Astyanax mexicanus: one gene and its partner. Each later gene encodes a partner of the first gene's protein in a complex. Links are inferred from orthologs where the notes say so. Each region holds a gene or a part of one and is shown on either strand. Other genes may lie near its edges.

The links. The genes of interacting proteins can lie anywhere in the genome.
Region 2: the proteins of keap1b (region 1) and ptmaa are in contact, whole or in part, in a crystal structure (PDB 2Z32), measured with the Mus musculus proteins. The link is inferred for Astyanax mexicanus from reciprocal best matches to the Homo sapiens genes KEAP1 and PTMA. Residues at the interface, in NP_001103775.1 of Mus musculus: Tyr334, Ser363, Arg380, Asn382, Arg415, Phe478, Arg483, Ser508, Gly509, Tyr525, Gln530, Ser555, Ala556, Tyr572, Gly574, Phe577, Ser602; in NP_032998.1 of Mus musculus: Gln40, Asn41, Glu42, Glu43, Asn44, Gly45, Glu46, Gln47.

Annotation. Positions count from the first base shown.
Region 1 is NC_064412.1:31,853,682-31,857,435, reverse strand, and holds the start of keap1b (kelch-like ECH-associated protein 1B), read right to left. Parts: upstream 2,940-3,754; 5' UTR 2,806-2,939; intron 2,798-2,805; exon of another isoform or gene 2,582-2,797; intron 2,310-2,581; exon of another isoform or gene 1,828-2,309; intron 1,320-1,827; exon of another isoform or gene 1,217-1,319; intron 942-1,216; 5' UTR 1-941. UniProt on the Homo sapiens protein: Substrate-specific adapter of a BCR (BTB-CUL3-RBX1) E3 ubiquitin ligase complex that regulates the response to oxidative stress by targeting NFE2L2/NRF2 for ubiquitination.
Region 2 is NC_064412.1:25,143,871-25,147,624, forward strand, and holds the start of ptmaa (prothymosin alpha-A), read left to right. Parts: upstream 1-920; 5' UTR 921-935; coding exon 936-983; intron 984-1,010; exon of another isoform or gene 1,011-1,025; coding exon of another isoform or gene 1,026-1,061; intron 1,062-2,363; exon of another isoform or gene 2,364-2,521; coding exon of another isoform or gene 2,522-2,566; intron 2,567-3,754.

The DNA.
Region 1 (3,754 bases):
GGAAGAGTGTGCAGATGAACAAAGGATGGAGGTATCCTTTTTTTCCTTTAACCCCCACAACCTTTCAAGTCCCAGCCAAGTTATCTTAGCATTGGAAATGACAGAGGCAGCATTGAATTAGCTGTGCTAGGTGACAAACGTCAGGTCCTTGGGGAGAAGAGCTGCCTTCTTCCTTGTGACTAATTCCTACAAACAATTTTTCCAGTGATTGACAGTGTGCTAAAAGCACTACCTGTTGCAAGCTTGAAGTCCACGGGTAGACTCCATATCAACATGTAATTCACTGTCCTTTTATGATCTCAAAGAAACACGAGATGCATCTTTATTAGAAAGCCTAGGTGAACTTTTCACATTCTACTTCGAAACATAAACATCCTGCTGTTATGTAAGGATTATTAAGCAGGAAAAATCTTGAACTGTCTCCTACAGCCTTAGGTGAACTGGCTTTAAAATTAAGCAAGCCAGTTTGTAGTGCCCCAAGCACATTTAGGTTGCCAGTACAAACTGTTCTACTGGTGCAGAACACCAGAAAACACCCAAAGGCAAAAGGAAAAAAGGAAAAAAGCAAAAAAACTAAGGTCATAAAACAGACAAAAAGAGAGTCTGCTCCTAAAGTGCCCTAAAAGGAGTTTTTCAATGAAAGTATAAGAACTCCTTGACTTGGAAAAAAAAATAATTTCCTCTCGTTGTAGCATAAGGTTTTCTAGGTTAAAAGTCACCGTTTCACCTCCGTTTGTAAACTCGAAGTCTAGCCGACAGCCTGAAAGATTACAGACATTCAGGTCAGAAGGCGTGTGAAAGGTGCTAGAGGTTATTTAGCCTGTACAGACAATCTTCTCCAGGAAAACAGCACAGCTTTACACAGCTGATCCCGCCAGGACTGAAGGTCTTAAAAGTTCTGTGCCCTGGAATCTGTTTTCGTCTGCCGGTCGCTCAAAGACCTGCAAAAAAAAAGAAGTGAGAGAGTGAGCGAGAGAGATTTACGACAAAGATCAACAGGGTGAAATCACGGACATTCTGTCCTGACACAACAAGTACATTCCTGTTGCTTAAATGACACACAGTCAGCACACTGCAATCAGACAGCATAAACTAACTTTAATCATGCTGATAAAACTAAAATAAAACACACAAAATATTGCAACAGAAACACATATAACAGTATATGCTGAGAGTTCAGAGCTAAAAAAAAATAGTCCAAAGGTCCGGTAGTTACTTATCAGTATCCATGGATATGCCAAGTCACAAACAAGCCAACCAGTCTGCTGCTGGATGTGGTGTTGTGGTAGTGAGCTGAACAACACTGTTATTTAAGACCAGTGACGCGCACACACACTGGTTGGTTTCAATCAGGTCCGACTCCCCCCTCGTCATCGTGACTACATTTTTCTTTACGTCAAATTATCTCGCTGACGTCCAAACAACTACAAACTTTTACTCCACAGGTGTCTTTCTCTGCACTACACAGCTTAATACAACAAAAGCATTTGTTGTTGACATTTTGTTAGCATTAGTGTAAACTGATGAAATGTTACAATTGGTCAGAGAGAGCGAAATAGTCGATTTTAAGTTGTAATTTTAACACACCACAAGTAAAAAAAAATGTTTTAGCCAATGTCGACTCTACATATCAATGGTCGCTTGCCTGTTTGTAACGACACTTTAAAAAGCAATAAATATCAGCGTGGAGAGTAAAAAATAAAACTAAACAAAAACCAAACCACAGGCCGCGAATCCCCGGGCTTGAGTTCGAGCCCCTGCGGGGGACAGTGCTGCCAAGGCGGGAAGCGATTCTACTGAAGAGTGGGTCATAATGAGCCAACCAACCTCAGGAAACTTCGCCGTTCTCCAGCCTCGTCCGTTCAGGTTTGAACTTTTCAGTCCGCAGAGCTTTTAAAGAAGCGTTTCTAAAGGGTGGATAACATTACAGGTATATCGTGTAAAACTTTCTCTCGCTTTAATAATTAAACTAGCCACAGCAGCTCCTTTTAGGAGCTAACTAGGTTACCTAACGCTAGGTTATTTTACCAAACAACGCGCACCTTATTCAAAACAATTACCGGCGAAGGGTTTGTTTAATTTAATCAGGTAAACACTGGCACAGCTAGCGGAATTTTCGGTAAAACAGTCTAACCTACATAGCTTATCTTAATTTTACATCTTAAAAGAGAATACAGAGAGTTAAGGCATGCCGTCAGCTGGATAAGGAAAGTAGGCGATCGTGTTTCACTTTATTAACCCCATGAACCCCGACTGGATTATTGTGGGTCTTTAATACCTTTCACTACAGCCATATATTATTGTAAAGAAAAATAATTTAACACTGCATTTATTGTTTACTTTTATTTTATTGTTATCTAATCTTTTAGGCTTAATCCTTATATAAACACTCCTTATATAAAACCTGCACCATCTTTTAAACGAGTAGAGCTACTGTATGGGTAGTGGATTTCTTCATGATCCATGAGTCCATGATTTTCAGTGTTAAAGATCTCTGCATGAATCACAGCCCCAAATGCTTTAGATAAACAGTGGGATTTCTAAGACTGCGACCCTACACCTAAAAACTAACCTATGTTACCTAGCGGTCTGTGCTGTTCCAGACAGACAGACTTATGTATCCTGGCAAAGCTCGAAAACACTCCTCAGCAGTGCACTCTGGTGAAGCACGGGCAGATGAATCACTTCCCACCGACTCAGCGTGCAACACGATGATAAACAAAGAAAATGCACAGAAAAGTGCAGCTCTAACGAAACACAACGACTCGTTTTTTGCAGTGCAAAGGTTTTAAGGTTGCTACTCACGCGTCTTGTGAGGATGAAGTCTGTCAGTGCTGACTAAAGGCCAGATGAGAGGAGAGGGGGGGGGACAGAGAGAGAGCGCGAAGCAGTAAGTCACCATGACTAAGCACTGCGACCGACTAGCGACGGTCGATTCAGGAACGAATTGTTCTCCATGAACCGAGTCAGATGAGTCGATTCGCAAATACTAGATTCAGACTCGGATTCAAATAGGCAATATACTGTAGCTATCGAGAACATAAATGGTCAAACATTGCAATAACCGTGACTACAGTAGTGTCAAAAGAAAAAGTAACACCAAAAGTACTGAATAAATGAAATAATAGCGTAATACATGACATAGTGATATCTTTAAAATATATACATGTTTTATTTATATAACCCAACCAACTCTTATTTTTCATTGAAAGTACATTGTATTCACGGTAAACAAGGATTAAAGAGAATATATATATATTAATTTAACAAAAGCAAGCACAAAAAAACAAGACTGGAAGAGTAAAAAATAACAATTTAAGGCTTAATTAGTAAGAGTTAAAATATATAGATAGATAAATGAATCAGTCAAGCAATCCAAATTACATAAATACATTTCGGAATAAGAAAATAAACTGTAAAATTATTAAAATATATGTGAACACTAACTTTGAACTGAAATAACAAAAAAAGAACATTTAAAACAAAAGTATAAAAAGAAGCAACATTAGAAAAAACAAAAAAAACAATAATAGAATAATAAATAATAATAAATCATATTTTATTAATAGAGATGTGACTTATTTAACTACTTTCTTATGTATCACAAAACTGGGAAAGTGGGTGGTTGAAGGTGCGAATATCTTCTTTGTGATACTAAACTAAAAGGAATCGTTCAGTCATGTAAAAGGTTCTTTCGAATCGATTCCGAATTGAATAGAGCAAGCTTCCTATTGCCACAACAAACCTCACAAGA
Region 2 (3,754 bases), about 6.7 Mb from region 1:
AATACATGATAAATGTGAGATCAGTCCAGTTGGAGGAATGCAAATATGCAATATATGACATAATTAGTCCAGTGGAGAGTGCAAAGAAGCTATATTTTACAAATATTTACAAATAATGTGCAGTACAGTGCCAGCATTCCCAATGCCAGTAACCAGTAGCTGTGAGTCTTTTAAAATAAGCAATGTGCAGTAGCACATAACTTTTTTGTTATTTCAGCCATTTCTCATTTTCTGAAAATAAATTCTCTAAATGACAATATTTTTATTTGGAATTTGGGAAAAAATTTTGTCCATAGTTTATAGAATAAAACATACTCTCTTAATTTTTTCCAATGTTTCAATATATATTTACAATTTCTATACCAACTATTTATAAAAATATGAACATGCAAGATGTTATGCTGGCATATATGGTATAACAATATACTATATTTTAAGAAAAAATAGTTTAAAACCTTAATCTGACAGCATATGTTCACTTATCACTCTAATAACATAAGATAATTTTCATAATAAAGCTTATTGTCATATAGGCTCGTTGTTACACAATACAATCTCACATCCTAAACAACAAGTGTAGAGAATAATAAGCCTGTAGTTTAAGGAGTCTGTGGTCGTCAGTTTAATGTTAATAGGATTCGGGATATTAAGGCAAGAAGCTACAGCCTGTTTATATCCGATTATTCTATTTTAAACGCTTTTGTCGGGAAAAAAAAATTAATCTGGGGAAGGAAAAGGATCCATTCATTAGCAGCAGGACTGTGTCGGAGCGCCAGTACGAGCTGAAGTTCACTAAAGATCCGGATCCGCACATGAATTTACAATCCGTGCTTTCCACAAAGCCGTTAGCGAGCATTTTTATTTGATTGACGTCAGGACGGCCCAATCAGCGCTCGCAAAGCGTCAAGTACACGTTCGCTCCCTTCCCTCGTCCAATGGGGAGACTTCAAGACGCCATACGGCTTTCTAATTCGGCCATTTTGGTGAGGTTCATTGATTTCCGTGTTTTATTTCTTTAATCGTTTATGTGTTGCAGTGATTCCTCGTTCACACTTAACGCTGTAAGTCGATGTCTGTACATCTCTAAACACGCGATTAAACCGGGTAGTCGGCTCGTTATTGTGCTTTTTATTTTCCGTCACGATTCGCAGTCCGCCATGTTTGTTGTTGCAACAGTAGCGCGAAACCAACACGGTAAAAGACTTAAACGGACTTTAACTTGATTTTATGTGTAATTGTTTGAAACACTTTGACAACAACAACAAAATCACGTGGCTAAAATCGATAGTTGCAAAAATAATCCGCTATACCCGAGCTAACTATCAGTATTGCTCGCCGCTGGTCTTAAACGAGCCACTGTTCACTCTGCCTTTTTTTCCACTGATCTGGGATCAGCTCAGTCCAACCCATTATTCAGCTTACAAACACAAGACAGGCGACAAGAGCTGTTGTGAGATCAGCGTACCTAATATGACTACAGCTCCAAACATTCAGCGGAGCAGTAGCGCAGCCTTCGCTTCCCTCCACTTCACAGACAATAATATTTTTCAGCAAAGAGACACTTTGGTAAAGAGGAGGGGCCGATAACTGTCACTCAAACCCGTGAAGGAGCTCTGCTAGCTAAGTACCGCAATATTATCCTTTGATCTTTGCTTATGTGACCTTGTTCAGTTCATTGCTTAAAATAATGAACTTTTAAGCATTACCACTACCAGGGACCATTTAAAAAATACATCCATTTTGACATAAACAAGTGAAGTTACAGTGAATAGTAGGTTAACTGAGATTGATAATTTTGATCCCCTGATTCCTACTAAACATGTTCGCTCATAACACATATAGTTCCTATGTAATAACACCAAGAGAGAGAGAGATAGAGAGAGAAGCGAAATACAACCCAATAAGGTTGTAGTTACACGCTGTTAAGCCAAACAGGATAAGCATAAAGATCTAATTACATGTGTGGTGGCTTTAACAGTGTGTGTCTGTCTGCCTGCTGGCCATCTCTCTAGCTATACGCGGATGGTGTAGAAGGAGGATGGTCTCGACTGACGCGTTTTGTGAGCACAGTCCACAGACATCTCCAGAAACCTTTTCTATTTTACAACAACAAAAAAAGCAGTATAGTCTAAATCTACCGCGTTTTGAGGTGGGGGGCTCGCATAAGTCATCCATCAGAAGAGGACCAGTCACATAAATGAGTCAGAAAGGTTGGTTTTGCAAGCGGGTTCCCTCGGTATAGAAATACTGTCCATTGTTCCAGTCTGGCGAATTAGACACAGCCTACGAATTTTTCCTCCCTCCGACCAATCAGCGCGCAGCGCCCGCCTGCAGGCCCCGCCCACTATTCTATATAATGGGGCTCCGCTGTCGGAGGAGTTTGCCACAGGCACTAACTCACCCTTTATCTTTATTATAAGCGATTTTTTTGGGATTCTTTTTCTTCCCCCCTCCTCCTTCTCTTTACATTCATTTTTTTTTCTGCGTGACCGCATCCCATTTATACACATTTTAGGCAGAAATGGCTGACACAAAAGTCGACACCAGCTCGGAAATTTCCGCCAAGGTAAGAGAATTGCTGGAATTGATGACTTACTGTAGCTTTATGATGAACGGACTTTAGCGTACAATGGGTTGATAGGTTTAGATGTGCGGGGTTTTAGAATAATAAAAAAAAACACTTTTTTTAAACGTGTGGACATATTAGTAGTAATGTAGCTAACGGTGCTGTGATGTATGTGGCGAGGGACACTATTATTCGTTTAATTGTGCGTATATTTGCTGTCGTGGACGTGGACGAACAAGGTTTTGAGTGAAGACTTTTCTGGATGAGGGAAATGTTAGCTAGCCTTAACTAACCTGCGCTCTGAAGTTGGGTTTTTTTTTTTACAGGCAGAGCTAAGATTAGCGTTGTCTCCTCAGTTACACTGTTGTAGTCCGCGCGGGTTCTTCTTTGTTATAAAGGCGTTTCGGTTCCCTCTTTTTGAAAAAAGTGCCTTTGAGCTACAGATTCTAATATCAAAACACCGCCAACTTCTGGTTTGAAGGGAGGAGGGTCGGGTTTGAGCCCGTCAGCGCGGGGGTTTATCACCGGCAGCGGCGGCGGCAGCGCCTCGTCCGGGGTTTGAGGGACGCGGAGATTTGCTGCCTCTTGTTCTGAAATGTGACAAGTTGTCTTCCGCGCCGCGCGGCTCTCTGTCTGCTCTGTCCGCTCTGTTCTCCCTGAACGAGGCCACGGAGGAGAGGGGGCTTGTTTTGACACGTTTTCTTTGGTTGTTGTAGCTGAGGACGCTTTTACTCCACGCATCTCATTATTTCTTTATTTATCCCCGTTCAGCTGCTCGTTTGTCGCAGACACGACCTGCCTCGCTGCCTCGGATTTACCCGGCTGGGCTGTTTGGCGGGGATTTGAGTTTGATGCATCTAAACGTTACGCATGTTTTCATTCAGAACTTAGGGGGGGAATAATAATAAAAAGTTTAAGAAAGCGACCTGACTGTGACCATAAGGACGAGCGGGGGTCTTATTTAAGTTGGACTGACTGGTTGGGGGGGGGGGGGGGGGTGTGGGGGGCTTGGTCTGCGCTACCGTTACCTGTCCGGAGGATTTTATTTAGCTAGCGTTAGCTGGTTTAGATGGTTCATCAGGAATACACTATACAAATGCACGACAGCCTCACGTACCCACTAGTGTTCAGCCTATACATCCTCGTGCCTCGGGACTCCAACTCTCATTCTGTGGTGCTTTCCGTCTG